Caenorhabditis elegans: one gene and its partner. The main gene of each other region encodes a partner of the protein of the gene in region 2 in a complex. Each region holds a gene or a part of one and is shown on either strand. Other genes may lie near its edges. The genes, in order: wdr-5.1 and cfp-1.

Region 1 (8,510 bases), on a different chromosome or scaffold from region 2:
TAAAATTTTCAGCCTCAATCCAGAAAAATAAAATTAAATCTGAAAATCAAATAGAATATCGAAATAAAACGAATCAATTGAATGATCATCTCAATCATCCCACGGAAATTAATATTTATGGATTTTTATATTAGGAAGAATATATAAGGAATGACAGAAAATACGAAGTTTCAGAAAAAAAAGTGTCTGGCCACCGCGCCTCTATAATCAAGGAATATAGGAGATCAAGAAGGAAAAGCATATATACACGGTGACCAAGGGGTAAATATAAATCAAATTTTCGAAATTTTAATTAAATTTAAACAATTTAAACATCCGAGCGCCATATATGAATCTTGTTGTCTGGCTCGAGAGCTCCTGAGGCAATGATGTTCTGAACTGGATGACAATCGGAGGCTAGCACGGGTTCTGAAATGGAAAAAATTTAAATTTGCATTTTTATTTTATTTTTCGACTTACGTGTGTGTCCTTCAAGACATTGAACTATTTCCCGAGTCTGGAGATTCCAGATGTAGATCTTACAATCTTCGGAACCACTGATGATCCATTTTCCACCGGTAACAGAGAAGTTGGCGAAGATGCAATATTTGCTATTCTCGTGTCCAGTGTATTGTTTCAGGGTTTTTCCTTTCGAGAAATCCCACAATTTCAAAGTGCTGTCGAGGTTCGATGCGAGGATGTATTTTCCGTTTGGAGAGAACTTTACAAATGCCACCGGAGGATTCTCGTCGTCGACCAGAGTCTTGATGCATTGCCCATTGGCAGTGTCCCAGATACGAACTAGACCATCGTAGGATCCCGATGCGATGAGGCTGCCGTCTCTGTTGAAAGACACTGCTGACACTGGATCTGAGTGTGCTGGGAGGGTTTTTATGCACATTCCTGTCTTGACATCCCAGATACGAACGGATTCATCGAATGATCCGGAGACAACGAGCGATGATTGTGGGTTGAAATTGCAGCAGAAGACGTAGTTATTGTGTCCTTTCAAGGTTTTGGTCATTCTCGACGTTACAATTTCGAAGATTTTCAGTGTTTTGTCGTCGGAAGCAGAGACAACACAACGGCTGTCGGAACTCCATGCTATATCGTTTACACCCAGTTTGTGGCCGGTGAGCTGAAAATTTAAGGATTAATTGTAATTTTCATGAGCGGAAACATACAGTTCGCTCACAAATCATGTGATCCATGTTCCAGATTTTGACGGTTTTGTCCGCGCTGCTTGTTCCGAGATACTTTCCACATGGGGAAAATTTAGCTGAAGAAATCGATTTTGTGTGTCCTTCCAATGTACACATCAGCTTATAATTTGCTGAACCCGAGGCTGAAGCTCCGGCGGCGTTTGGATTGGGAGTTTGGGCACTGGCACCTGGAGCGGGTGTGCCAGTCGGATTTGATGGCGAAATTGAATTGGGAGAAGTCTGGAAATTGACTATTGTGAAGTCTTATTCAAAAATATACTATTTAACAATAACGAAACCTACAGATGGAGCAGGAGCTGAAGAACCTCCATCCGGAGCATTTGGTACTGTTAATTGATCGATTTGTTGTGTTGGCTGTTGCTCGGCAGCTGAAGCAGCATTTTCGCTGGTATCCATATCTGAAATCACAGCAAAAATCAAAAATTAAGTTGAAAAATGAAGAAATTCATTCAAAAAATATAAAATAGAAATCGTCGTAAGATGCAATGTGCGGTACGCAGAGGCAAGGGTGCATGCACAGCGAACACACAATTTGACGCGCAATGTTTTTGCAGTTTTTTTTTCGGAATTTCTTTTTTTTCGTTAATGAACTCATGTCATGACATGTATCCGTGTCTGATACGTGTTAAAATATTTATATATTCATTCGATTACAGATATAACAAACTTTTCCAGTCATACAAACACTTTATAAAACAGTTAAGCGAAAAATTGTCGGTGCATTATTTAATCTTCCTCGTCTTCATCTTCATGACGAGCCACAGCGGGAGGAATTCCATACATGTGACGACCACGACGAAAGAGTGGCATTCTAAAAACTCCGACTCTTGGCGGTACTTCATCATCGTCATCATCCTCGTCTTCAGCGTTAGGATTCTCGTCTTCATTGCATTTTTCGGAATCAACAGCGAGTGGTTTAACTATTGGCTCATCAGGCAGAATAACTTCGACTTGAATATTGGCAACTTTTGGTCCGTAGAATCCTCTCCAAAATTGTCTATCTTCACCTTCATTCAGAATAGTTAAATGTCGAATTCCAGACGGGTAATCGTCAAACTCAATTGTCCAATCTTCCCAAGGTTGACCAGTCCATTGAGCCCATTCCTTATTTACAGATTTATATCTTTTATGATCAGTGTTGCTCATAGTTTGTACATGGCCAAATCTTTCAATCCACTGAGTCTCGTGATAGTTCAACTGAGCAGCAAATGAGAGCCTGGCTGCACAATCATTACGATGATTGACTTTCTGTGTAATTCTAATTCTCGGGCGAACGTGATCCAAGATCCATGGGTCAATTCCAGAGTTCACCAAATCGATGAAAACACTGATTGAGCTCTCTGTGAATGAAAATACGAAGCACTTGGAAACATCCGGATGTGGTTCACAACCGTTTCCTCCATCTCTTTCCATGTGGATTCTGAAATTGTAAATATTGATTATTTTAAGAACAAAGTATTGACATACCCACTGCCATTCGCTCTGATTGAAAAATCATCTGAACGGAGAGTTCCACTTATTGTGTTGTCACGTGCATTTTCAAAATGAGAAATGAAAAGCGGAGTGATTGGTGAGTAGCCTCTTCCAGACAGAACCTGAAGTAAAACTTTGTAATTTTATTACTATAAAATGCGATAACCTACTATTTTTTTAATATTAAAATTAAAACTTGAAGTGTCAATTTCATTGTCTTCATTTCCAACAAACTTCTTCTGTGTCGCTGCTCTTCTCCACTCCAAAGATGGAAGAACATTTGATATATTTAAAATTCGAGCATATTCAATCCAAAACGAGTCACTTGATATCAAATCATTGAATCGATGGCAAGCCAATTGGCAGTTTAGAAGTGATTTTTTGTCCAGCCTTCGGAAAATTGGCGAGAAACATTCGTTCGGCACAGTTTCTGCATCTCTGAAATAATTCTAGGTGAAAAATTGATATTTTAATTAAGAAAAAACTCACATTATCACTGGAACATCGGTTTTGAACTGTAGACTTTGCATTATCGATGAGAACGCTTTAAACATTTGGGGTCGATGAGAACAATATTTTTCGATTTTAAAGAGAAGAAATGAGTCAGAAGGAGAGAGACGCAGAGAATGGAAGTCTTGCGAAATGCGCATGCATGTGATATTCGTGTTCCAAAAAACTATCACGCTGTTAATATTATTATTTTAAAGCAAAAATATTAATAAGAAAATATTCAATGCTATTTTGAGAATGAGAAAAAAACTTTCTGACAAAAATATTGAGAACCTCTAGATATTCAACTTCTTTATATATTTTATTTTTTTCCTCATCTTGCTGACTGCAACTTTTTAGATTAGTTGATATATATTTGTCTTTCTCTTCTCTTAGTTTTACAGGTTACGAAACATTGATGATCTTCCTTATCCAAAGATACGTGGACAGCAAGAAATAACTTGTCCCACTTTCTAGGTTATCGCCGCCAATACCAAGGTCAAGCAATTCATGTTCTTCAGATTTGTGTTTCTAAAAAGGAAAAAAAAACGAATAACCGTGTTTATGAAGAAATACTCGTGCAATAGGAACCTGTCAAATTGGAATAGATTAGTGATGCTATTTACAAAAATTTTGAACATGAATTAGAACTAGTGATTATCATCAAATTCCGTGGATAAATCACTGCGGAGATCAGGGTTCGGAATGGCGATTTGCTCATCCTCTCGGACTTCCAAAGCCATCTCGAAATCTTCATCTTGAACGGGACCTCTTGGAATCTCTCTTGTTGCAATACTGGTCAATGGGACATTATAGTCGGGGGAATCGTAGGCAACGTGTGAACTGAAGGTGTTCCGTTTCTTGCGCTCAGTTTTTCCTTCGCTCAGTGACATGAGTGCCTAAAAATTCAATTATCTAGCTTTAATCTTTAGTGTAATCATTTTTTACCAGCTTAATCGTGATGAAAACGTAAATCAGAGCAACGAGAATGATGTTGAGATAGACTGCAAACCAAATCCTTGTCGCCTCATCCTTCTTCAGATTTGTCATCAAGCCGTCCGACGATCTGCGCGACGTGGCCTAAAAACGGTTGTGTCAATATGACCCCTCCCACCGTCGATGTTATATACTTACTGTACTCTTTCCGAAAAGACCTGTCACAGAGTCAAACATTCCTCTTGTTTTCTCAGCTGCCGTATTCAACCACGACGGCACCTCCACGCGTTGACCGAACAATTCGATACTATTATCCTTTAATATTTATGTGTTTTGATATATCCTCATTTTGAGCCCACCTTCGAACGTAATCCTTCTGCCATCGAGTCTTCAGTCTGGTTTCTCACATAGAAACATTGAATTGAAACAACCAGCAACAGGATTAGTGGGATTTTCATAGCGGAAACCTGAATATAATGTAATATGTATGTGACAAAATCACGAAAGAAAAAAGAATTTCCAAAAAAAAATGAAATTAGAAATCATTGAAACAAGTATTTGATTGTCCACTCGGACTACACTGTATACAGCGCTTCGAGACCATATCTTTAAATCCGGTGCGTCTTTAAAAGAGTGATTATTTGACCCAGTTTTTAAAGTCATTTTTTGAGCTAATTTTAGTTCCAAAAACAACTTTTTTGATAAACTTGCCCATTCCGAATAAATTTTTTGGGTTCAGAATAATTTTAAGTTGAAGATAAGCATAATTATATTCGAATAGACTCTCATTTCCGGGCCGTCGACGTTCCTTTAGCATTGTAGTTGCACAAACTTTCAGTTCGATGTGTTTTGTTCATTTTCTCACTGTTTTAAGGTTTAGAACACAATTAATTTTCCATTAAATGCGCGAACTCTCATCTCAATAAGTCATAAAGGTCGCCACGGTGACGTCCACGTGGACATCTCCCGTACACGCGTATGCTGACGTGTCAATACTGCACTGTCCATTCGTCTTGCAGTTTCGCGGTCCTCGTTGTCTCTGCCGGGGCGTTCACGGTCTCTTCTCTTTCTCTCGTTACTCTGTTTTACAACGTGCGCTTATTCTCCTTCTCTTCTCGTCGCTCGCACTCTTCCTAGCAGGTTGTGAACGACGAGGATTTTTTAAAAGAAAAATTGACTGCGTTTGTCAATACTCATACCCTACTTTTTTGATCGCAAAGTAATGGCTAACGTATTGTTTGCACACTTATCGTTGTCTATACCTCTTTTCTCTTCAATGATAACTTCCTCAAATTTTCTATTACTATTTTTTTAAATTTTCAGGTAATTATGTCACTGTCAGTGTCCTTTATCTTCCTCCTGGTCGCATCAATCGGAGCAGTTGTTGCTGACAGCGAAAACGTGCTTGTTCTCACTGAAGTATAACATTTATTCTGATCATTATCTTCTAAAAAACTGTTTTCAGAGCAATTTCGAAGAAACTATCAATGGAAATGAGTTTGTTCTAGTCAAATTCTATGCTCCATGGTGTGTACATTGCAAGTCTCTTGCTCCAAAGTACGACGAAGCCGCCGATTTGCTGAAGGAGGAAGGATCCGATATCAAGCTCGCCAAGGTTGACGCCACCGAAAACCAAGCTCTTGCATCCAAGTTCGAGGTCCGTGGATATCCAACTATCCTCTACTTCAAGAGTGGAAAGCCAACGAAATACACCGGAGGACGCGCCACCGCTCAAATTGTCGATTGGGTCAAGAAGAAGAGTGGACCAACTGTTACCACTGTTGAGTCAGTTGAGCAACTCGAGGAATTGAAGGGAAAGACCAGAGTTGTTGTTCTTGGATACTTCAAGGTATTTTTTTACATAAAAAGTACAACCTATTTAATTTATTTATTTTTCAGGACGCGAAATCTGATGCTGCTACCATCTACAACGAAGTTGCTGATTCTGTCGATGACGCATTCTTCGCCGTTGCCGGTTCTGCTGAGGTTGCTGCTGCCGCATCTTTGAATGAAGATGGAGTCGCTCTTATCCGCACTGATGGAGACGACAGCGAGACTAGCACAATTGCTGAAGCTGAAATCACCAACACCATCGCTCTTAAGCAATGGCTCCACGCTTACAAGCTCTCTGCCGTGACCGAGTTCACCCACGAATCTGCTCAAGAAATCGTCGGAGGAGACCTCAAAAAGTTCCACTTTTTGATCATCCGCAAGTCAGACTCTTCTTTCGATGAGACTATTGCCAAGTTCACTGAGGTCGCTAAGAAGTTCCGTGCTAAGATCGTCTTTGTTCTTCTCGACGTTGATGTTGAAGAGAACGCAAGAATTCTCGAGTTCCTCGGAGTCGATGCCAAGAACACCCCAGCCAACAGAATTGTCAGCCTTGCCGATCAAGTTGAGAAGTTCAAGCCACAAGAAGGAGAAGATTTCGAAGCTTTCACCAACTCATATTTGGAAGGAAAGTCTGCTCAAGACTTGAAGGCTCAAGATCTTCCAGAAGATTGGAATGCACTCCCAGTTAAGGTTCTCGTCGCCTCCAACTTCAACGAAATTGCCCTTGATGAAACCAAGACTGTCTTCGTCAAATTCTACGCCCCATGGTGCGGACATTGCAAGCAACTGGTTCCAGTTTGGGATGAGCTTGCTGAGAAGTACGAGTCCAACCCAAATGTTGTCATTGCAAAGCTTGATGCTACTCTCAACGAGGTAAGAATTTTGAAAGTATCAATATTCATAATTATTATTTCCATTTTCAGCTTGCCGACGTCAAGGTCAACTCTTTCCCAACCCTGAAGCTGTGGCCAGCCGGATCTTCTACCCCAGTCGACTATGATGGAGACAGAAACCTCGAGAAGTTCGAAGAATTTGTCAACAAGTATGCTGGATCTGCTTCCGAATCTGAAACCGCATCTCAGGATCACGAAGAGCTTTAAATTAATAATATATATGTTATTTATTGTTTGAAGTCACGGCGTTGAATTGTGATTACTCGTTTTTTTTTGTTTCCATCCGTATATATTATATATATAAAACCCTAAAAATTGAATCCCGGAGAATGTTTTTTGTTTCGTTGAGGCTTCTGTGAAATTATATTTCTTTATTTCGGAATTTAAAATTTCGAATCGAAACCAAAACCATTTTCAGGCTGCGAATGGCCGCTGAAAAAAGAGTGTTCCTAGATATTTCAGTCGATGAGAATCTGATTGGAAGAATTGAAATACGACTTTTTGTCGAAGATGGTTAGAAATCTGCCCAGAAAATTAATTTAAAAAAAATCAATTATTTTTCAGCACCTAAAACATGTGAAAACTTTCGAGCATTGTGCACAGGAGAAGTCGGAATGACTCCAAATAATAAAGCACGGCTTCATTACAAACAAAACGAATTTCATAGAATTGTAAAGAAGTTTATGATCCAGGTCCGGCGGTTTTTAGCTGAAATTTTTGAAAAATTGACGATTTAGGGAGGAGACATCACAGAAGGAGATGGTAGAGGAGGATTCTCGATCTACGGACGATACTTTGACGATGAAAAGTTCAAATTAAAGCACTCAAGGCCCTATTTGTTGTCAATGGCCAATAAAGGACCAAATTCAAATTCTTCTCAATTTTTCATCACAACGGCTGCAGCTCCACATTGCAATGGAAAACATGTTGTTTTTGGAGAGGTGCATAATGGATTTTAAAGAATATATTAATTTTATAATTATAAAATCATGATTTCACGAGATTCTAACATAAAGGCGCAGAGATTTATTCAGATGGGTCTCGGCGCGAAAGACAGTTTATGGTAGTCATTTTTGAAGTTTTGCGTCTGTTTTCACTTTGTTAAAAATTGTTTTTCAGTTTTAAAATAAAAAGTAATGTTTTGTTCATAAAATCATTTTTACAGGGAAAACCGATTTAAAACGATTTCAAAATAACAGAAAAATGAACAAAAAAACCAACTACTATAAATTTTTAGCACGCCGAGACCCATCTCTTTAAAGCCGTGCGCCTTTAAGTCAAAATCTGTTGAAATTACGATACTTTTATACTTTAATGTTAAAATAAATTGAATTCCAGGTTGTCAAAGGACAAAACGTTGTAGATTACATCGACAATCTTGCGGTTGATGATAAATCGAAACCACTCGCAAAAGTTTTGATCTCCAATTGTGGAGAACTCGTGAAAAAGAAGAAACCATTGAAGACAGATGAAGAGCTCGCCGCTGCTCTCGAAGAGAAAAATAATAACGCAAGGGACAATGAGATCCCGAAATGCCCGAAATCTTGGCTCTATCGTGATGATGACAATGAGAAGAAGCATGAAATGAGAAATGATAAGAGAAGAGAGTATCGATCGAGAAGATCAAGATCTAGATCTCATGAGAAGAATCGCGACTATAAGGTTTATTTTGTAATGAAAAATT
Region 2 (8,510 bases):
TTGATTCGAGGATTCGGTTACAATTTGGCGAAGAGCATGGAACCAGCTGATTCGGGAGCGGCGGTAAAATCATCGGAAGTTTCTGCTTCGTCGGATGGAGTCGTTATTATCAATGGATCAGCGGTGAATGTTGTGCAGAAGATGAAGCTGCTGAAGCAAGTTGAAAAGGAGAGAGATGAGGCGAAGAGTACTGTTAGTGAGCAGCTTTCATTAATCGGTAGGGATTAAATATAATTGTTTTTGTTTTTAAAAAAATTCTTTAATATTTCAATTTTCAGAGCAACTTCGAGAAGCCAAGGCTGAAATCGACAAGAAAAAGAAGGACATTGACTCTCACTACCACAAGTCCAACAAGAAATTGAATGAGACAAGTGCTCAGCTGAAGTCCACTCAAGATGAGAATTCTGCTCTGAAACAGGCCCTTCAAGACTGCAAACGACATGCTGATCGCATTTTTTCTGTAGTTGAGAAGGTTATGCCACCACCACCAAAGAAGGAGGAGAAGAGCAAGGTAATTCTGAAAATTTGGTTAATTTTGTTTTAAAAGTAATAATTTATTTCAGAAGGACGAAAAGGAGAAAACCGATAAGAAGGATGACAAAGTATCCGAGAAATCCGCTGAAAAATCAACTGAAGAACCTTCTCAAGAAGTTCCAGCGAGTGCTGAGCAGGCTGCTGAGCCATCTACAGAAGCAGAACCAATTGTTATTGATGAGTCTGAGGATAAAGACGCAGAAGTTGTGGAAGAATCCAAGGAATAGAAAAAACAAATCTCTCCCTCTACAATTAATGATCTATTTTTTTCTTCTTTTTTTTGGTTTTCTTTAACTTTTAAATGTTGTTCTTTAAATGACGTCCCGTAAATAACCATAATATATCTAAATAAATGAAATATATATATTCGTGATATTGTATACTGTTAGGATGGTTTAGAATTCCATAAGTTTTATCAGATTTTTCAGATTGGCAGCAAATGGTGATCCGGAAAATGAAAATATTTTCCGATATTTCGACAAAAAAAATCAATTTTTCCGGAAAAACTTGATTTTACCTTTTTGAGAAGAAAAAAAGATAAAATGTTGAATTTTTGTTAATTTTTAAGAAAAAAACTTGTTTTTTCGGGAAAATCGACAATGTTCAATGAAAAATTCGATTTTTCGACCAAAAAATTAGAAAATTGCGTCATTTTTCGTATTTTCAGGCAAAATTTGATAAAACATTGAAATTTTCCCCTTTTTTCCAAAAATTCTCAATTTTTTCTCCAATTTTCCGGAATTTCGAAAAAAAAAATGTATTTTTCCGCAAAACTAGCTTCAAATTTTGACCATTTTTCGTATTTTTTAGAGGAGAAAAAAAAATATTTTTCTGAATAAAATTAGCGAAATTTGATCAATGTTGGGATTTTTGTTAAGTTTTGTAAATTTTTGAGAAAAAATTGCGTCATTTTTCGTATTTTTTGGCTAAATTTGTTAAAAAATTGAAATTTTCCCCTATTTCCGAAAAATTCAAGATTAAATCGACGATTTTTCGCTAAAAAATTGGCTTTTTAACCATTTTTTTTTTCGTATTTTTTGGCTAAAAATATGTTTTTTTTAGATGAGCAGTATGTCAAATAAAGAAATCGAAGATAATGAGGATGTATGGAAGGAAAGATGTATGAATTGTATTCGATGTAACGATGAAAAGAATTGTGGAACATGTTGGCCGTGTCGAAATGGAAAAACTTGTGATATGCGGAAATGTTTCTCAGCGAAAAGATTATATAATGAGAAAGGTTTATATTTGGAGGAAATTCTTTTCAAAAATTGATTTCTCTGAGCTCAGTTCTAGTGAGGCAAAGTGCATGGAAACCTAGGCAACCGGCAAAAGCTTGTAGCTCACCTGCTTCCATGATAAATTGCGGATTTTCGGGCATAAAATTTAATTTTTATTCGTTTTTTTTCCATTTTTCTACGTCATTTTTAACGAATTTTCATCTTTTACAATGTCTGCGTCTCCTGCAGGCGATTTTCGAAGGCATTTTCAAATAACATTTTTTTATTTTACAGGTGGAGTACAGAAATTTCGTTTTTTCAACCAGAAATTGCCGAAACTAACGTATTTCCTGTAGAAATGCTCTGAAAATTTCTCAAAAAAAGGTTATGGAACTTGAAAGTTTTGGAAAAAATACCTATTTTAAGCTAAATCTCAAACTTTTTTTGGCAAAATTTGAAATTTTTGCTGAAAATAGGCTTTTTTCCCAAGTTTTGAAGCCCCTTAACTTCTTTTTTCAGAAAATTTCAGCGCATTTCATGAAGAAATTCGGTAGTTTGGGCGATTTTTGATTTAAAAAGCAAAATTTCGTCATTTCACCCTTAAATAGACTAAAAATGGCTTGAAACTACCGATTTTAATTATAAAATTTCTCTGAAAATTTCCCAATTCTTCTAAAATCTGAAATTTCGCAAATTTTTTTTCCCACAATGGCTGAAATCCAGCTTCTTAAGAAATTATCTCAATTTAGCGTATATTTTGGTAGTTTTTTCGCATTTTTTTTTTTGAGAATTTAGGCACATTTTTAGGTCGATAGGCATCTGGCTAAAATTGATGCCTATAGGCTGAAAACGATCCTAAATCAACAAAAAAATGCGATAAATGGTGAAAATTTAATTTAAAATATCGGAATTTCAGTTGCTAGAAAAGGGAAAAGTTGGCAAAAATTAGAATTTTTAGTAAAATTTAACTTTCTTTTCAAAATTTAATTTTTTCGAGAATTCTCATCACGAAATTCGGTCTTTTCCGGTCAGTTTCAGTCTTTTTTTTTAACGAAAAAAACCCTCCATTTCAATTCAATAATTCCAGTAAAAAGACAAACCGACGAAAATCTGAAGGCTATAATGGCAAAAACAGCACAACGAGAAGCCGCTCATCAGGCAGCCACAACCACAGCACCAAGTGCTCCGGTGGTAATTGAGCAACAAGTTGAAAAGAAGAAGCGAGGACGAAAGAAGGGCTCTGGGAATGGAGGAGCTGCTGCTGCTGCACAACAACGGAAGGCTAATATTATAAATGAACGAGATTATGTACCGAATAGGCCGACGAGGCAACAGTCGGCTGATTTGAGAAGGAAACGGACACAGTTGAATGTTAGTATTTATTACTGTGGAAACTGTACAAATCCGAGGATTTTGCAGTGTCGCACAGAAATAGCGGAGGCGGAGCGTAATTTCGCAAGCCTGCGGCACGGTTTTTCCTCTTTTTTTGTTGATTTTTTGCAATAAAGTTTCGATTTTTATCTCTTGTTTCGAATAAAAATGTTCTTCAATGCGATTTTTGAGAATTAACTTGGTTAGCATTTTAATTCGAAAAAAGACGGTAAAATCGAAATTTTATCAAAAAAAAATCTACAAAAAAGAAGGAAAAAACCGTGCCGCAGGGTAGCGAAATTAGGCTCCTCCTCTACTCCTGTGCGGCACTGATTTTCACGAATCGATCGTTTAATTTGTGTATACAGTTGAATGTGAGACTATTACTGCTGAAACTAAACAACAAAATCCGCGAAAATCCGTGAATTTTGCAGCGGCGCACAGAAATAGAGGCGTAGCGTAATTTCGGAAGCCTGCGGTACGGTTTTTCGAGGCACCACGTTTTGAAGACCTGTTCAAAAACAAGATCCTCCAAAACAAGATCTACGTTTTCAGGATCTGGCACCGTGCCAACTGCGGTTTTCTCGATGAAAAACGAAACAACGATGCTCCGATGTTACGCGTTGTTTAGCGTTCAGAAAACTATTTTTGAAATTTTCTTCTAGAAGATACGCTAAACAACGCGCGACGCGTAACATCGGAGCATCGTTGTTTCGTTTTTCATCGAGAAAACCGCAGTTGGCACGGTGCCAGATCCTGAAAACGTAGATCTTGTTTTTGAACAGATCTTGAAAGCGTGGTGCCTCGAAAAACCGTGCAGCAGGGTTGAAGTTGAATGTTAGTATATTACTGTTGAAACTGAACGATCAAATCTGTGAATTTCGCAGCGTCGCACAGAAATAGAGGCGGAGCGTAATTTTGCAACCCTGCGGCACAATTTTTTCTCCTTTTTTCGAATAAAAATGTTATCCAATTTTTATTCTCATAAAATATCATACGAACTAAATTGGAGACACATTTTCTGTCGAAAAAGGAGGAAAAACCGTGCCGCAGGGTTGCAAAATTACGCTCCGCCTCTATTTCCGTGCGGCGCTGCTTTTCACGAATTGATCGTTTAATTTCTACAGGAAAAACCTGCCGAACTAATTAAAATTGAAAAAAAAAATCAATTTTTTCCAGGCAGAACCCGATAAACATCCTCGTCAATGTCTCAATCCGAATTGTATTTACGAATCTCGAATCGATAGCAAATATTGTTCCGATGAGTGTGGAAAAGAGCTCGCCAGAATGCGGCTCACTGAAATTCTACCGAATCGCTGTAAACAGTACTTTTTCGAGGGCCCATCCGGTGGGCCGCGCAGTTTGGAGGACGAAATCAAGCCGAAACGGGCTAAAATCAATCGAGAAGTTCAGAAATTGACGGAATCCGAAAAGAATATGATGGCATTTTTGAATAAGCTCGTCGAGTTCATAAAGACACAGTTGAAACTTCAACCGTTGGGCACAGAGGAGAGATATGATGATAATTTGGTACATTTTTGGCTCATTTGCTCAAATGACAAAAAAAAAATCGCCTTTTCGCTTCTTAAATTCACAAAAAATTGTTTTTTAGCCGAAAAACTAACAAAAAACCTGTTAAAATTGTCATTTGTCGATTTACGTAGCTCGTGTACTCCTCGAGGAGAAGTTTGTCTTAATTTTGCACAGGATTTCCTTGATTTTGGACTATTTTCTACGATTACTCTGGAAATATCGTAATTTCACAAGATTTTAACTTTTCAAAGGCACACGGATTTATTTAAATGGGTCTCGATGCGAAAAAGTTTATGGTAGCTTTTTTGTTTCATTTTGCAATGAAATTACCTCATTTTTAGCGAATTTTGCCGTTTTCTTGCCATTTTTCTCTTTTTTTCAGGCCAAAAAACGGGAATTTGCACATTTTTTAATAGAGAGAAGCTTATTTTTGAACTTTGCAAGTTGATTTTAAACAATTTTAACAGAAACAATGAAAAGAAACCCAAAAACCCGTTTTAGCGATTTTTTCCGTTTTCTTTTCATTTTTTCCATTAAAAATTGTTTTAGATAAGTTTCAAGGTACAAAAAATCTTTTCTCCATTAAAAATGTGTCCTTTCCCCATTTTTCGGCCTGAAAAACAAGAGAAATGAACGAAAAGTACAAAATTCGCTAAAAACGAAGTAATTTTATTGAACCATAAACTTGTTTGCGCGTCGAGACCCATCTGAATGAATTCGTGTGCCTTTAGGAACTTGAAATCTTGTGAAATTATCAAATTTTCAGTGTAATTGTAGAAAAGAGTCCAAAATGAAGGAGATCCTCTACAAAAATTGATGCAAACTTCTCCTCGAGGAGTGCACGAGCCACGTAAATCGACATATGGCCGTGTTAGAGCTTTACACGGTCATTTTCATTAATAAGTAAAAAAATTCAATTTTTTCAGTACGAAGGCTGTATCGTGTGTGGTCTCCCGGACATTCCCCTCCTAAAATACACAAAACACATTGAGCTGTGTTGGGCTCGAAGCGAAAAGGCAATCTCATTCGGAGCACCGGAGAAGAATAACGACATGTTTTATTGTGAAAAATATGATTCGCGAACGAATTCTTTCTGTAAACGGCTGAAATCTCTGTGCCCAGAACATCGAAAACTGGGCGATGAACAGCATTTGAAAGTGTGCGGTTATCCGAAGAAATGGGAAGATGGAATGATTGAGACGGCGAAGACAGTTTCAGAATTGATTGAAATGGAAGAGTTAGTGGAGAATTTGGAGAATTTTTTGATGGCCGAGGATCCGACAAGAGATTTAGAGCTTTTTTTGCTCGTTTTTGCGTGAAAAATTGTGAAAAAATGACCGAAAAAAAAGAAAAATTCGGGAAAAATAGCAAAAAAATCGCTGAATCTTGTCAGATCTTCGACCGTGGCCGAGAAAAACCTCGGCCATTCAGCAAATAAAATTGCAAATCAATCAATTTTCAGCCCATTCGGTGAGGAAGGCTGTCGAACGAAGAAGGACGCGTGTCACAAGCATCACAAATGGATACCATCGTTGAGAGGAACTATTGAGCTGGAACAAGCTTGTCTGTTTCAGAAAATGTATGAGCTGTGCCACGAGATGCACAAATTGAATGCTCACGCCGAATGGACAACGAATGCTCTGTCGATTATGATGCACAAACAGCCGAGTACGGAAAAATGCTCATTTTTTCTGCGAAATTTTGCGATTTTCGCGCCAAAATTACGGTGGCCGGTCTCGACACGACAATTTTTTGTTGGGTGCAAAAATGTGTGCGCCTTTGAAGATTACTGTAATTTCAAATTTTGGTTTTTTTTTAACTTTTTTATCGGAAAACTATAAAAATCACTGGAAATTCCGCTGCAACTAAAATTTAAAGTTCCAGTAATCTTTAAAGGCGCACAGATTTTTGCAGTTAGCGAAAATTTGTCGCGTCGAGACCAGGCACTGCATTTTTCGCACAAACTGCCCCGTGTCGATTTACGGGAATTGTGTACTCCCCGAGGAGAAGTTTGAGAATTTTACAGTTTTTGTCGAAAAGCTTGAATTTGGACCAATTTCTCTAATTTTTTTTGTATTTAACGGTCAAAAAGCCGAATTTGCTGTTAAAAGCAACTGAAAAAAATTAAAAAATTGGCGATTTCACCGTTAAATATGTTATTAATCAGCAAAAAAAATTCAAAATCTGGTTTTTCCAGGGAAAACCGCTTCTGCTCGAGGAGTACACGAGCTCCGTAAATCGACACATATCCCGTGTCTGAATGAGAAAATCCTCAAAATTTCACAGATTTTTAAATCTAAAAATGAAATTTTACAGATATTATTGATTCCGAGCAAATGTCCCTATTCAACAAGTCCCAATCCACGTCATCATCCGCCTCGGCTCACGGAGCAACGACACCAATCAGCTCAACATCATCATCATCATCATCATCATCAAAAAACGATGATGAAATGGAAGATACCGCCGAATTTCTAGCAAATCTGGCTGTACAGAAGGAGGAGGAGACGCAGAATAATTAAAATTTCCCTATTTTTTTTAGTTTTTTCCTCAAAACTATCATATTCTTTCATTTCCGTGGAATTTCGTATCTTTTTTCCAAATCTGAACAACATTTTTTTCTGTTTGAATAGGTGTCGTCCTGAAATATGGCGGAGAGAGAGAGAGTGAAGAGACGCAGACACTCTAACGACACGTTGCGTATATTACACGAAGCACTGGCTTTTTCATTCGTTGTTCTTCAAAATTTTTATGATTTTTATCTTTTGAACAAAAAACAAATTGAACTTACCCTTCTTTATATTATTATTTTATTTATTTTCTTCTAGTTTTCCAAAAACCTTTTTTTGTTCTATTTTTTGTTTCACCCAATTTCTCTCTATCGGTGTTCTTCATTTTGATCCTCAACTATTCACTCATCTCTCTTTATACATTTTGGTCTCTCTCTCGAAGAAAATTGACATTAAATGTATTATTTTCCATTTTCCGAATTTTTCAACAAAAAACTTTTATTCCAAAAAAAATCCTTAAAAAATTTAAAAAAAAACACCAAAAAAATTTTTCAGATGACTTCTCCAGCGAGTAGCCGAACAATTTTGGTGTTCGACGTCGATGGAACACTCACTGCTGCTCGTCAGGTTAGTCTGCGAGATTTTTGCGATACGGTACCTGGGTCTCGACACGACAATGCGCCTTTGAAGAGTATGTCGTGTCGAGACCAGGCGCCGTTTTTGGGGGGCAAAATTTTGCTTCTACATCTAAATTTAAAAAACCCCAACATTTTCAGACTATTACGCCTGAAATGCGAGAATTCCTGATCGAGGCTCGCAAGCGTGTCCCGCTGGCAATCGTCGGAGGATCGGACTTTAAGAAGATCACAGAGCAGCTGGCAGATCACGATAAGGATTTGTGTATGTCTTTGCTAATTTTTTTTTTTGAATTACAAATCCTAATTTCCTCATTTTTTCCAGTGCTCTCCCTGTTCGACTACACATTCTCGGAGAACGGGCTCTACGGATTCAAGGGCACCGAACCGTATCCAGTACAATCAATCCAGAAAGCCATCGGCGATGCGAAGCTCCAAGAGCTCATCAATTTTGCTCTCCGCTACATGTCTGACATTCAACTTCCTGTGAAACGTGGAAATTTCGTCGAATTCCGAAACGGGATGATCAATTTGTCGCCTATTGGACGGAGTTGCTCACAAGAGGAACGAATGCAATTTGTGGAGTTTGATAAGAAGCACGGAATTCGCCAAAAGTTCACCGAGCAGCTCCGCGAGAAGTTCGGGCAATACGGGCTCCAGTTTGCAATCGGAGGACAAATTAGTGTTGATGTATTCCCTACTGGATG

Evidence for each region.
Region 1: cfp-1 (region 2) and wdr-5.1 share a complex: the UniProt entries of both Caenorhabditis elegans proteins name them as parts of the SET2 complex.

What each region holds. Positions count from the first base shown.
Region 1 is NC_003281.10:3,698,375-3,706,884, reverse strand, and holds wdr-5.1 (WD repeat-containing protein wdr-5.1), read right to left. Parts: upstream 1,601-8,510; 5' UTR 1,599-1,600; coding exon 1,485-1,598; intron 1,422-1,484; coding exon 1,164-1,421; intron 1,118-1,163; coding exon 460-1,117; intron 409-459; coding exon 308-408; 3' UTR 101-307; downstream 1-100. Other genes in the region: C14B1.3 (F-box domain-containing protein), read right to left, coding at 1,929-2,622, 2,670-2,797, 2,846-3,113, 3,165-3,229; C14B1.2 (Conserved plasma membrane protein), read right to left, coding at 3,815-4,063, 4,113-4,244, 4,299-4,415, 4,460-4,558; pdi-1 (Protein disulfide-isomerase 1), read left to right, coding at 5,430-5,519, 5,566-5,949, 6,000-6,806, 6,857-7,033; cyn-9 (Peptidyl-prolyl cis-trans isomerase 9), read left to right, coding at 7,252-7,339, 7,391-7,518, 7,564-7,767, 8,165-8,488. UniProt on the Caenorhabditis elegans protein: Contributes to histone modification. May position the N-terminus of histone H3 for efficient trimethylation at 'Lys-4'. Required for di- and trimethylation, particularly for the trimethylation at 'Lys-4' of histone H3.
Region 2 is NC_003282.8:14,075,845-14,084,354, forward strand, and holds cfp-1 (CXXC-type zinc finger protein 1), read left to right. Parts: upstream 1-1,596; 5' UTR 1,597-1,605; coding exon 1,606-1,774; intron 1,775-2,841; coding exon 2,842-3,125; intron 3,126-4,304; coding exon 4,305-4,655; intron 4,656-5,584; coding exon 5,585-5,895; intron 5,896-6,120; coding exon 6,121-6,326; intron 6,327-6,974; coding exon 6,975-7,180; 3' UTR 7,181-7,723; downstream 7,724-8,510. Other genes in the region: ccar-1 (SAP domain-containing ribonucleoprotein), read left to right, coding at 1-217, 279-511, 564-761; F52B11.2 (putative phosphomannomutase), read left to right, coding at 7,724-7,795, 7,945-8,068, 8,129-8,510. UniProt on the Caenorhabditis elegans protein: Transcriptional activator that exhibits a unique DNA binding specificity for CpG motifs; enriched at promoters containing the trimethylation mark on histone H3 'Lys-4' (H3K4me3).